Diceros bicornis minor: one gene and its partners. The protein of the gene in region 2 interacts with the protein of the main gene of each other region in a biochemical or structural test. Links are inferred from orthologs where the notes say so. Each region holds a gene or a part of one and is shown on either strand. Other genes may lie near its edges. The genes, in order: DRD4, KLHL12 and LNPK.

Region 1 (3,746 bases), on a different chromosome or scaffold from region 2:
GATGGCGTCGGGGGGCAGCGAGCCGGGGGGCGCAGTGGCGTCCAGAGTCTGTGGGCTGGGGGGTGCGGTGGCATCAGGGGGCGGTGGGCCCGGGGACGGGATGGCGTCGGGGGCCGACAGAGTGGGGGGCTCAGCGGTGTCCAGAGTCTTCGGGCCGGGGGGCGCGGTGGCGTCGGAGGACGCGGTGGCATCGGGGGCCAGCTGGCAGGGAGGCGGGATGGTGTCGGAGGGCGGGATGGCGTTGGAGGGCGGCCCGGGGGGCGGGGTGGCGTCGGGGGGCGGGCCGGGGCCGCTGGTCCGGTGGGGCGCGCGGCCGCGCAGCTTGGCGCGGCGGGCGGCCTCCCAGCGCCGCAGCCCGCGGAAGGTGGCCCAGTAGAGCAGCAGCATGAGCGGGCAGGGCAGGAAGAAGGAGCACACGGACGAGTAGACCACGTAGTCGCGGTCCTCCAGGCGGCACACGGCGGGGTCGCGGCCGTGCGCGTCGTTGAGGCCGCACAGCACGGGCGCCGCCACCGCAGCCGACAGCAGCCACGTGGCGCCGATGAGCACCAGCTGACGGCCGCCCCGGCTCTGGCGGTTGTAGCTCAGGGGCACGGCCACGGCCACGAACCTGCGGGGAGCGCGGTGAGCGGAGCGGGGACAGGGGAGGGGGCGCAGCGCGCGCGCAGGGGCACGAGGCGGGGCAGCGGGCGGCCCACCTGTCCACGCTGATGGCGCACAAGTTGAAGATGGAGGCCGTACACAGCATCACGTCCATGGCCATGAGCGCGTCGCAGAGGCCGGGGCTCAGCAGCCACACGCCGCCCTGCACCTGGGCCGCCAGGAGAGGGGACGCCACAGCAACAACAGACACAAGACCCGCTGACGTTCCCCCAGCCACGGCCAGGCCAGCAGCCCTCACAGCCACTGGTCGCTCCGTCTTTCTGACCCCCACTATTTTGGGGAGCAGAGGCTGAATATCAGAGGGGGAGGGAGCCGGGGTGAACCAGGGGCAGCTGCCCAGGCTCTGCCCCGACCCACGGGCCTCGGCAGTCCTCCCCAGAACAGGCGCCAAGAGACACACCCCCAGGTCTCCTTTCTGTTAGAACTGAGACAGGCCTGAGGATTATGATATCTGATGATGGGCTCAGGGCCCCAGGGGCCCCACCTGGGCAGGGGGGCCCTGCTACCCTGGAGCATGAAGCCCACCACTCCTGTTTCCATGGCTAGGAACCAGCCTGTGTTGTTAAACTCTGCCACTGCTCTGGGACTTTGGTTGAGTCACTTCACTTCTGTCCCCTCATCTGTAAAATGAGGGTGATGACAGTACTCACATAATTGTCCTGAGGATAAATGAGTTAAAAAATATAAAGGCCTCGGCACTGTGCCCAGCGCTCCCACCAAGGGCAAAGGAGCAGACAGCCGCCCCCCCTTCTAAATCCCCTCCCGCTGATTTGGGACGATTAGGAGCTTAAGAGCCGTCACTGTGACGTCTGTCTGCAGCTCCGGGAGCGGCAGGTCATGCATGTCCTTGCCCTGCTAGCCTCTGCCCCAGCCCTGCCTGGACTCAGTGTCCACCTTAGAAAAACCAAGTCTCCCCTCCCCCCAGCCCAGGACACTGTGTCCCCAACCCAGCCCTAAGCAGCTTCCCTCTGCCCAGACTGTGGAGCAGATGGGCCTGGCACAAAGGGGGACCCACCCAAGGGTCAGACCTGGTCTGGGGGTGGAGGCTCCTCGCCCCAGGTTGTCCCCTCCCTCTAGCCATGCCTACTGCCTGGCAGCTCCTGGCAGCTAGCATCCTTCCAGCTGGGGGCCCAGTCTGTGCATGAGTGAGGGCTCCTTCTGTGGGGCGAGCTGGTGTGTTCGTGCTCCTGGTGGCCTCGTGCAGTGATGTGTGTCTCTGTGGCCCAGGGGGAGCCGGGGGCTAAGGCTGCATCTGCCTGTCTGTCCAGCTGGCTCTCCTGGGGATCAGAACCCAGCTGAGGGGATGGAGAGGTGGCTGGACTGCCAAAGTCGCCTGTTTCTGGGATGTCTGGCTTGAAGGATAGAGGCATCTCTTGGGTAGCAGACGCCAAGACAGAGGGAGAAGAGAAGAAAGGGACAGAAGAGGGAGTGCAGACAGACAGCAAAGCAGGGAGATGGACAGCGAGTTGGGGGAGGGGAGTGGGGTTCGGAGGGGAGGGAGGCTCCGGTCCGCCTGGGACCCGGCGCAGCGCCCCTCCAATCGCCCAGCTCGAGGTTCCTGAGAAGCCAAGTGGCCGAGCCGCGCTGGGTCCTCGGCGTGGACCGGCACAGGGGACGAAGGAGCAGGTGAGGGGCGCGCGTGCGGCGGTGGCCGCGGGCTCACCTCGGAGTAGACGAAGAGAGGCAGCACGAGCAGGGCGAGCAGGAGGTCGGCGGCCGCCAGGCTCACGATGAAGTAGTTGGTGGGCGTCTGCAGGGCGCGCTCGGCCGCCACGCTCACGCACACGAGCGAGTTCCCCGCGAGCACCGCGCCGATGAGCAGCACGCCCCCCGCCAGCGCCGCCGCCGCCCCGGGGGTCCCCGCGCCGCCGCCCGCCGCCGGCCCTCGCCCAGCCAGCAGCGCGTCCGCGTCCGCGGCGCTGCGGTTCCCCATGGCGCACCGGCCCCCTGCGCCCCGGCGGGCGCTCAGCACCGCGGACAGTGACCAGGGCGCGAACCGGGAGCCCCGCCCTCGGGCACGCCCCCGCCCGGCCTTAGCCCCGCCCTCATCCGCCCCGCCCTCGGTGGGCCCCGGGACGCTCCAAGAGGCACCCTGTATTTGTCCATCTTGGACTTTTGCAGGTGGACAAATGCAACGGCCCGGTGAGATGCGAGTTAAGCGAGGTGATTGGCACAGGCGAGCCCAGGATAGCCCCGCGCCGCGCAGGGTTGGCGGGGACGCGCGGATCTCCGCCCCAAGAAACCGACGGGGATAGAAGGTCGGCCGGATCATACTCCGAGGCGCACAGACATCCACGCCAGCGCCATCCCGCCGGCCCCAGAGACCCCCGGGTCCCTGTATGTGCCCAAGCTGGGTGTCCCCTCAGGGACGCTCCCGGAGGCGCCTCGAGGCGGAGGCGGGGCCGCTTCTAACTCCAGCCTGTTCACGAGGCTTCGGAAGAACATCCTTCTCAGGGCGGTTCCGCCAGACGCGAGGAGACCCGAGCCCAGGCTCCACCCACAGGCCCCGAGCGCTCGGGCGCCTTCCCCTTGGGCCCCTGATGATCGGCGGTGCGTGAGGTACAAGCTCCGTGCGCACCCTTCCTCCCTGCTGCACCCCACTCCGCCCAATCTCTCCTTGCCCTGGCGCGACCCCCGCAATGACTCAGACTCCAGTGCAGGGCCCTGCACCCCATCCCGCAAAGCAGCCTCTCCTCCGGTACCCAGGACGACGCTTAGTCGCTCCACCCGCAGCCACTGCCTGACCCTCCATCCTCCAGGGTGGGCAATGGAGTGGTCAACCCCCATCCCAGCTCCATCACCTTGGAGCCTGTGACCCTGAGCAGGTTGTGTGCCCCTCTGAGCCCGGGAAATTGGTGCTTACCTCCCAGAGCCTTAAATGAGATAACACAGGAAGGGCTGGGAGGAGCGCTCAGGAAGCTTAGCAACCGCTGTGGTTCTGCACGTCCTTCAGACACTGGTGTCACCTGAGTCACCCCCCTCTTCAGAGAGAAGCCCACAATGAGAACCTTCTCGCCCTGCGCCCACCAGACCTGTGAACTCACTGGGCCCATCACCCCTCCTGCCGACACACGACTGTGGGA
Region 2 (3,746 bases):
AAACCTACACTAGTAGAGTGAATACCAATTTTCTTCAATATCGTTAGGAGGAGGGGGAAGAGCACTGAATCCCTTCTGTTCCCTTCCCTCCTCTCTATCCCCCTGGTATTCACTTTAAAATATTAAACGTTAGAAGGAGCAAAACAGGAAAACAAAATTAAAAACAGTAACTAAAATCCAATAGCTGACATTTGTGTTTTACCACATTCTAGACACTGTTCTAAGCACTTTATATGTAATGTTCTCAAATAACCGTCACAATAACCACGTTATTGTGCATTCCTACTATCCCACGTAGAGATGAGGAAACTAAGGCATGGCCAAGTGGCAGATCTTATCCAGAGCCTGCCCATTTAACCACCATACTATAGAAATTCACTACTACATCAAACTTCTACCGTTTTATTCAGTAAAATGAGGCAATTACAAGGTTACATGTGTGACTGTCATTTGTGAGGGGATAACTTACCACTTACCTCACTGGTGAACATGGCACAGAAGTAGTCACTACAGGCAGCCAGCACAATCCGATGGGCAGGGAAGTCCTTCTGCTCTACTCTCAATGTCACATCACAGAGGGTATTGCTCTTCCTGAGGGAGTTCATTGAATTGAGGATGGATTTAGCATGAGTATTTGTCATTATGTCTTTGGGGGCCATAGTGCCTCCCATCAAGCAATATGGAGAAGGAATGAAAGGTGTCCTTGGATTCTACAAGTACAAAAAAAAAAAAATGAGCATATCTGAAGGACTGGGGAGACTGAATATATTCAATTAGCTTTACAAATTAAGGAGGCTTCCTCAGACCCAAACACCCACCAGTAGAGAACACTGCTATTCCTGGCATTACCGCCACAATATAGCTACTAACTATCCCAAGTAAAAAGGATCTCTTCTTCTTCTGAATTCTGCTATTACTGAGCACACCTACCACTTGACATTTATTATAATCAATACTCAACTGTATTGCAAACAGAAACTTCACATGTCCTGCATCTTTACAAGGCTGTTGTCTCAAATGATAAAATGATGAAAAGATAAAATTTCTTAAAAGTGTGATATCAGTATTATTTAACATCCATCCATAAGATTAAGTACGTACGTACGTAGAGGATGGGGATCCCGTTTTACATATTTTTTCTACGCTAGCAGGTGTACAATGAATGTCTAGTAGTTCAATGCAACAAAAGAAAAATTGTGTATTCAACTACGAGCAATAAAGGGTCACTGAAAATGGACTTTTTTCTAATGAAGTAGGCAAGGAATTATTTAAGATGATTTCCAACTATATCTGGATTTCTTCTTAAAATTACACTTCAAATGAAGACCCGGTACCTACACTGAGTAATGGAAACCATGCAAGCTTATCCACAGACTTTCTCTCACATTATTGAAGCTCTGCTATAGAGGGGGTCTTCCTACTCTATCTTATTAGTAAATGTCCATCAACATTAACAAATCAACAGCTGTAGTAATTCTTCTATACTGAAACAGAGAGCCTCATTAGGATAGAAACCTATCAAAACTCCACCACTGATTTTACTACCATAGCTGGTCACTTGCAAAGTTCACTTGTATGCATCAACTAAATGAACTCAGTAAGAGATCACGTATCAAAAAACCAATTTAAGAAGTATTTTCTTGATTGTTGACAGGCTTTAGACACACTATTTTTTTCTTTTTTTGCGTCAAACACAATTTCTGGGGAGTAAAATACCGTGGTTACTAAGAGTCTATCTTATCTGGAATCCAAACTTTCTTCAATGATCTAAGGGAAAAAAAAAATCAAACGACGTTCTTCAAGAGTCCACAACCCACAACGGTAATTTTTGAATAGTAAAAACGAGACCCTAAATTCTCATCTACTCCTGTTTACAGTTAGCATATTATCCTACAAGCACTCCAGGTAATCCCTCCAACAACTGTGCAAGATACATTTTACAGAAAAGGATGATTCATCAAAGCAGATGACGTTTTTCAAAAAGATTTTCCTTAAGCCTACTTAGTTTCAACTCTGGTAAGAAGGTCTAAGACACGCACACTGAGGCAGTGTGAGGACTTGCTGCGGATTATGGCAGGGCTCAGCCTATGACCCGCCTTTGCAGCCTCCAGGCTCTCCTCCCCGGGGATTCCTGCCTCGCCTCACCTTCCCGAGGCGATCTATTCTAGAACTTGCGCGAACATCCGAGGGTTCCGCCCTAGGAGACTCGGGGAGGGGAGCGGTGTCGAGCTCAGGGAAGGCTCAACCCCAGGCAGGAGGGAGGGAAAGGCGGTCTCCGCCCCGACACCCAGGCAGAGGCCCGGGGCGCATCTCTCCCGTTCCGACCGAGGGCGGAGCACCCATGCTGGAGTCGAGGGACGGGAGGAGGCGGCGGCCCCGGCTCCGCGCACTCACCTCCGCTCCCGGCCCACCCCGCGCCGGCCGCGCCTCGTCCGTGGGAACAGGCTGGGGGCCAGCAGGGGGCCCAAGTGGAGCCCAAGCGCCGCCGCCGCCGCCGCCGCCGCCGCCGCCACCGCCACCCCGGCCCCAGGCTCCGGAGCCGTCACCAGGTCCCCGCGGCCGCGCAGCTTGATGACGTACGCAGCACGAGGTCCGCCCCTTCCGTTCCCTCTGCGTCACGTGAGGGGGGCGTCGCGGTGCCCGCAGGCCCGGGTTTCCAGCCCGGGACAGGAAGCGAACGGCAGGTGGGCGGAGGGCGGCCCGCCCGCTTGGAGAGCGGCCGAGACTGAGGTACTCTTGGGGTCACGACGCAGGCCGCTTGAGAGGATCCCACAGATTTCTAGGCTGAGGAGTTCACTGCAGGGAGTCTGTGCTACCTGCCAGGTGTTCGGGAACCTTCTCACGTCGAGAAAACCCCCGGGTCTTCAGATTGCTTCAAGTCCGTGTCTGCGTTGCCCCTTTTCAGGCGACCACCGCTGCGGTGAGAATCCTCCGAGCCTTGCGCTCCGCTCACCTCAGCCTTCTCCACATCGCGAGGGGCCGGTCGTCACTCCTGAGGTCATGTCCTCTGCCTCTTGCACTCCCAGACAATTAAGTGGAAGGAACTCGTGGTCACCAGGGGTTAGACGTTGTGAGTCTTCTTAGAAGTCCCAGTAGTCCTCATCTTCCTCTTCTGCTGACTTTTCGCTAGCTCATGGGTGCTGAGCGTTTTTGCTTCTAATCGATTTTGGCGCACTTTTCTTAGAGGCTCGGAAGGGAATGAGGTTCCTTGGTTCAACTGATGTAAACGTACAAACTAATCGTGTTTGATTATACTGTTTTCCTCTGTGACGCCTTTGATTCTTTAGCGATAATAAAACCATAGCCAAGTGGATAGCAATCTAATTTTACCTAGTGTTTCTAAATTTCCTATCATCTGTCTCTGATCTAACATTATCCCTGATTTACACAGGGTGAGTGGGAGTGCAGGATTGGTACAAATTCTATTGGGGGCATTTTGGAAAAGTTCACCAAAATTATGAATGCAGATATCCTTTGAGCGATTTTTATAATTTTATCCTTCGTATATACTCGTGCATTCATAAAATAATGTGTGTGCAAGGTCGTTTGTAGATTAGATTAAAAACTACCTTAATGTCTATCAGTAGGGGACTGGATCAATAAAGTATGGTACATCCGTACAATCCGATACCGTGAGGTTGTAAACAGTGTGTATAGTTTGCCATTATTTGTGTAAAATGTTGGCAAAATATAAATATTCGTATTTGCTAGTATATGTATAAAATGCATTTGGAAAGATACAAAAT
Region 3 (3,746 bases), on a different chromosome or scaffold from region 2:
ATTTAACTGAAATTGTATTGCTCTCATTTTCCCTAGTATAAAAAATAAAGCAAAATACTTTGCAGATTCTTCCATTAAAATAATCTTGTAGGCCTTTAACAGTAAAGGAAGTTCAGTTTTACGTTTCTCAAGTTCCAAACTTAACTAGAAACTATTCAGTCACTATCAACAGTACCTCTCCAACATATTGTCTCATTCAATTTAAGATTAAAAGTGATCTGTTGTAGAACTCTAACTTTCAAATATCCCAAATGAAAAGGCAATTCTGAAATATCCCAAACCACCACATACTACTCAAAAATAAAATTATTGAAAAAAAGCAATAAAGAAGCACCTCTAAAAGCACTTCTATTATATGATGGTTAAGTTCTGGTCTTCATGGTGAGTCTATGCTCATTCTGAACTAAATACTTCCAAAAAAATGACTATTTGATTAGAAAGATTTCGATATGAAACCATACCTGTTTGATAGCTACATAACTTCTTCCTTTTCTTATATTCTCTTTCAAGTTAATAACATAGAAACACTATATAAGTTTATTAATAGCATTGGGTTGATCTCAGTAGATGACAGAGAAACTTAAAATTCTAATTTTAAATGCACCACTCTTGTTTTAAAAAAATGTGTTCAAAATCAACTTGCTTCTCCTAAAATGGATCTATGGGGACTGCTGAGGACAAGAGATTAGCATTCCCTGCCAGTGTGAACATATGCCTGAAACCAAGCTTACTCACATCCACAAAAACCGCCGTTGAATACAGTCAATTTTGTCAACGGTGACACCCAAGCCATAGAGAAAGGAGAAAACACAGTTGACACTAAGGGACCACAGAGCAGAAGCCAACTGGGAAAACGGGAACATGCAAAACTCAGTGAGTCATGGGTTTTACTTAGTACAGTGAGGGCACCATCAGCAAAACTAGTCCACCAATCTCAACTCTCTCTCAATCCCCATACACAATATTAAAGAATTAAAACTATTGATGTAGTTTAGATTTGCTCTTCTCCTGCCATGTTTATGCCACCTATGCCCTCACCATTCCCTCTCCCCCCATCCCCCTTAGGCCGCCCACCGTCCCTCAAACAAGGACCACGGTTGTCGAGAGGCTTCTGTAAAGCAGCACAGAATCCACGCCCACACGCCTGGGCCGAGCAGCATGACACTGACAGTTTTCGGTCCCTCCAGATCTTTCCAACTCATGGCGCCTCCGCACAAACTCAGAGAAAGAAGAGACGGGTAGAACACTCAAAGCGATAGCTTAGCATAGGACCTTCTGACCCTTCGCCTAGGCATAGGCGGGCCAAAGAGCCGATGCTCAGATCCATCCAGTCACACACCCCCCGCCCCCCCCCCCCCCCCCGGCATCTTCGTGAACCGAGCTGGAGAACCACCTCCCCGTGGCGGGGCGGGGGCAGAAAGGAGTCTCCAGCACTCCAGAGCCACCCCTGCCACGGTGCAGGATAATCAAGGGGACCAGGCGGCGACACTGGCGCAACGCGCAGCCGGGCAGGGGTCTGACCAGCCGGCGCCGCGGAGCTCCTAGGCCACTCGGCATGGGGCGGGGCGCCCGGGAGAGGCAAGCGGGGGGAACCGGGAGCGTATCTCCCACGGCAAAGCTCAGCGCACCTCCCCTCTGCCGAGCCCTCCCAACTGCCCTCCTTGTGAGCGCTCTACCTTCAAGAAGCGGGCAAAGCCCGGCGCTGGCGTCCACCCCAGCCAGCTTGGGCGGCCACCGCGCAGCCTGCCTCCGGAGCAGGCAGCCGCCGCCACTGACAGAGCTCTGGGCCGGGCCAACTCCTTCCCATCAAACCCCGCGCTCCCGCCGCCGGCCAATCCGCGCCGCGGCCGGCGCGCGCCGCTCCCCCGTCACGTGACTGTGACTCGGGCGCGCAGTTGGGGCGGGGGAGTGGGGAGGTCGGCCCGGGGGCGCCTGTCCGTATGGCCTCCGCAGCCAAATACGGTGCTGGTCGCCGCGTCTTGGAGATGTACTGCCGTTTATTATGACTCTTACCAATGCAGTTACTTCTTACTCTTCCTCTCCCTCCTTCTTTTCTTGTCAAGCCTGCAGTACCAAGTCTCGCTGGAGAAAGAAAACCCCAAAATTGGTCCTGGTGGTCCTAGACTGCCGCGAGAGCAGAGTGGGGTTGAGGGTGAAGGTGGGTGCGTCTGGAAAGGAGTCCGTCCTGAAGAGTCCCCGAGCAGCTGTCATCCAGCCGGCAGCAGAGCAAGTTAATACGACATAGCTTAGAAGAGACCCAGTTCCCAAACAAGCCAGTGGAGAAAATTCAGGGTAGACTCCAGCCAGGAGTGCTTGAGGCTTTTATCACTCGTGACGTCAAAAAGGGTCATTGGATGCCTGGACGCTTACCTCGCCGGCGTGTGGTAAACTTTAAATGTTTGAAGTTGATGTTGATTTCAAACCGTGGATAACAACATAAGCTGTTTTCTATCTTAAAACTCTCACCTCAAAAACACCCGCTTCACAGGTCCTGATACGTGGGCCCACGAATAAACCACTCAGACTATGTTTGCCTCAGATTCGAAATATTGGCTAAAGATCGTTTTCTAGACACCTGGGACTGACAAGTCTAAATAACAAATGATTCTTGAACCCCACGAGGTAACTTGGAGAAAGGAAGAGAAATTTCAGCAAAAGCTTTTGTCATGTTTTACCCCTGTGACGTGTTTTAGCCTTGTGTGCAAACATTTTTTATGGAATTTAAAAATTTTTTTTAGTTACATACACATTTTAAATAATAAAAAGTTTGCATGATTTTTAAAGAGTATAATCCTTTTAATATGCTGCTTTTAAACTTTGACAATGCAAACAGATAAAGTAAGAAAAGAAACTGAGTAGTATCTAGTTGGTTAGAACAATTTACTATACTGGAAGCTACTAGATAATTCACTGTGGAGTTGCTTGTCCTAACAGCTAATATCTTTAGTTACAGCTTTGTAAACTTGAAAGGATGAAGAAAAGGGAACCAAAGTTTATTATTTCTTGTGTACTCTGGGTCAGGCACCTTATAAATCTAGAAGAAAATGAAAAGAGAGATTTCACCTATTTTGATATGGAAATTTAACCATTTTGTTTTTCATCTTTTGCTATTTCAAAGTTAAAAAAAAAAAAAGGCCTGTGCAGTTATGCAAATACATCTCTTCACCTCAGGAAGATCTCTTCTCCTAAGAGAACAGGGAAGAAGTATATTCCACTTGCTAATGACTTGTTCTCTAGTTTTAATTAAGCCGTGAAGGTCTATTGTATGGGGGAAAAAAACAGGAACCGGGACACAGAGAAGAGCTAGCTAAGTGCAAGAGATTCCAAAAACCTAATCCTGAGAGAAAATTCCCTGGGTAATTGCTCTAGAAGGGGAGAGATTTGGCCTGGCAAGGGGAGGGAGAGAAGTGGTGAATCATTGACTCTTTTAATCCTCCCAACAACCTTTTAAGATAAGTATCATTTTTCAAAAGAAGAAACTGAAGGCAGAAAGAGTATGTGTTTTGTGGAAGGTAACACTATACCACTACCTCCTTTACATCAAGTGGTAAGAGTTTGTCTGGCACAGTGAGGGAAGACATAACGAGCGAAGAAATCAACATATGTACTATGAGGCTGGACTACAGGCCACAGGGGTCATTCCAAATATTTATTGAGGACAAGACCCTGTGTTAAGTGCTGAAGATATAGAGATAAATAAAACAGCTGCCCTAAGGCAACTGACACTAGTGAGAGAAACTTTCAAG

Evidence for each region.
Region 1: of the proteins of KLHL12 (region 2) and DRD4, one has a biochemical effect on the other in vitro, tested with the Homo sapiens proteins (2 studies listed by BioGRID, with this or other methods). The link is inferred for Diceros bicornis minor from reciprocal best matches to the Homo sapiens genes KLHL12 and DRD4.
Region 3: the proteins of KLHL12 (region 2) and LNPK form a complex in vitro, tested with the Homo sapiens proteins (2 studies listed by BioGRID, with this or other methods). The link is inferred for Diceros bicornis minor from reciprocal best matches to the Homo sapiens genes KLHL12 and LNPK.

What each region holds. Positions count from the first base shown.
Region 1 is NC_080770.1:1,341,699-1,345,444, forward strand, and holds the start of DRD4 (D(4) dopamine receptor), read right to left. Parts: upstream 2,597-3,746; coding exon 2,327-2,596; intron 812-2,326; coding exon 699-811; intron 611-698; coding exon 1-610. UniProt on the Homo sapiens protein: Dopamine receptor responsible for neuronal signaling in the mesolimbic system of the brain, an area of the brain that regulates emotion and complex behavior.
Region 2 is NC_080777.1:30,938,640-30,942,385, forward strand, and holds the start of KLHL12 (kelch-like protein 12), read right to left. Parts: upstream 2,494-3,746; 5' UTR 2,395-2,493; intron 2,325-2,394; exon of another isoform or gene 2,146-2,324; intron 711-2,145; 5' UTR 672-710; coding exon 477-671; intron 1-476. UniProt on the Homo sapiens protein: Substrate-specific adapter of a BCR (BTB-CUL3-RBX1) E3 ubiquitin ligase complex that acts as a negative regulator of Wnt signaling pathway and ER-Golgi transport.
Region 3 is NC_080749.1:56,664,015-56,667,760, forward strand, and holds the start of LNPK (endoplasmic reticulum junction formation protein lunapark), read right to left. Parts: upstream 2,223-3,746; 5' UTR 2,014-2,222; intron 1,786-2,013; exon of another isoform or gene 1,677-1,785; intron 1-1,676. UniProt on the Homo sapiens protein: Endoplasmic reticulum (ER)-shaping membrane protein that plays a role in determining ER morphology. Involved in the stabilization of nascent three-way ER tubular junctions within the ER network.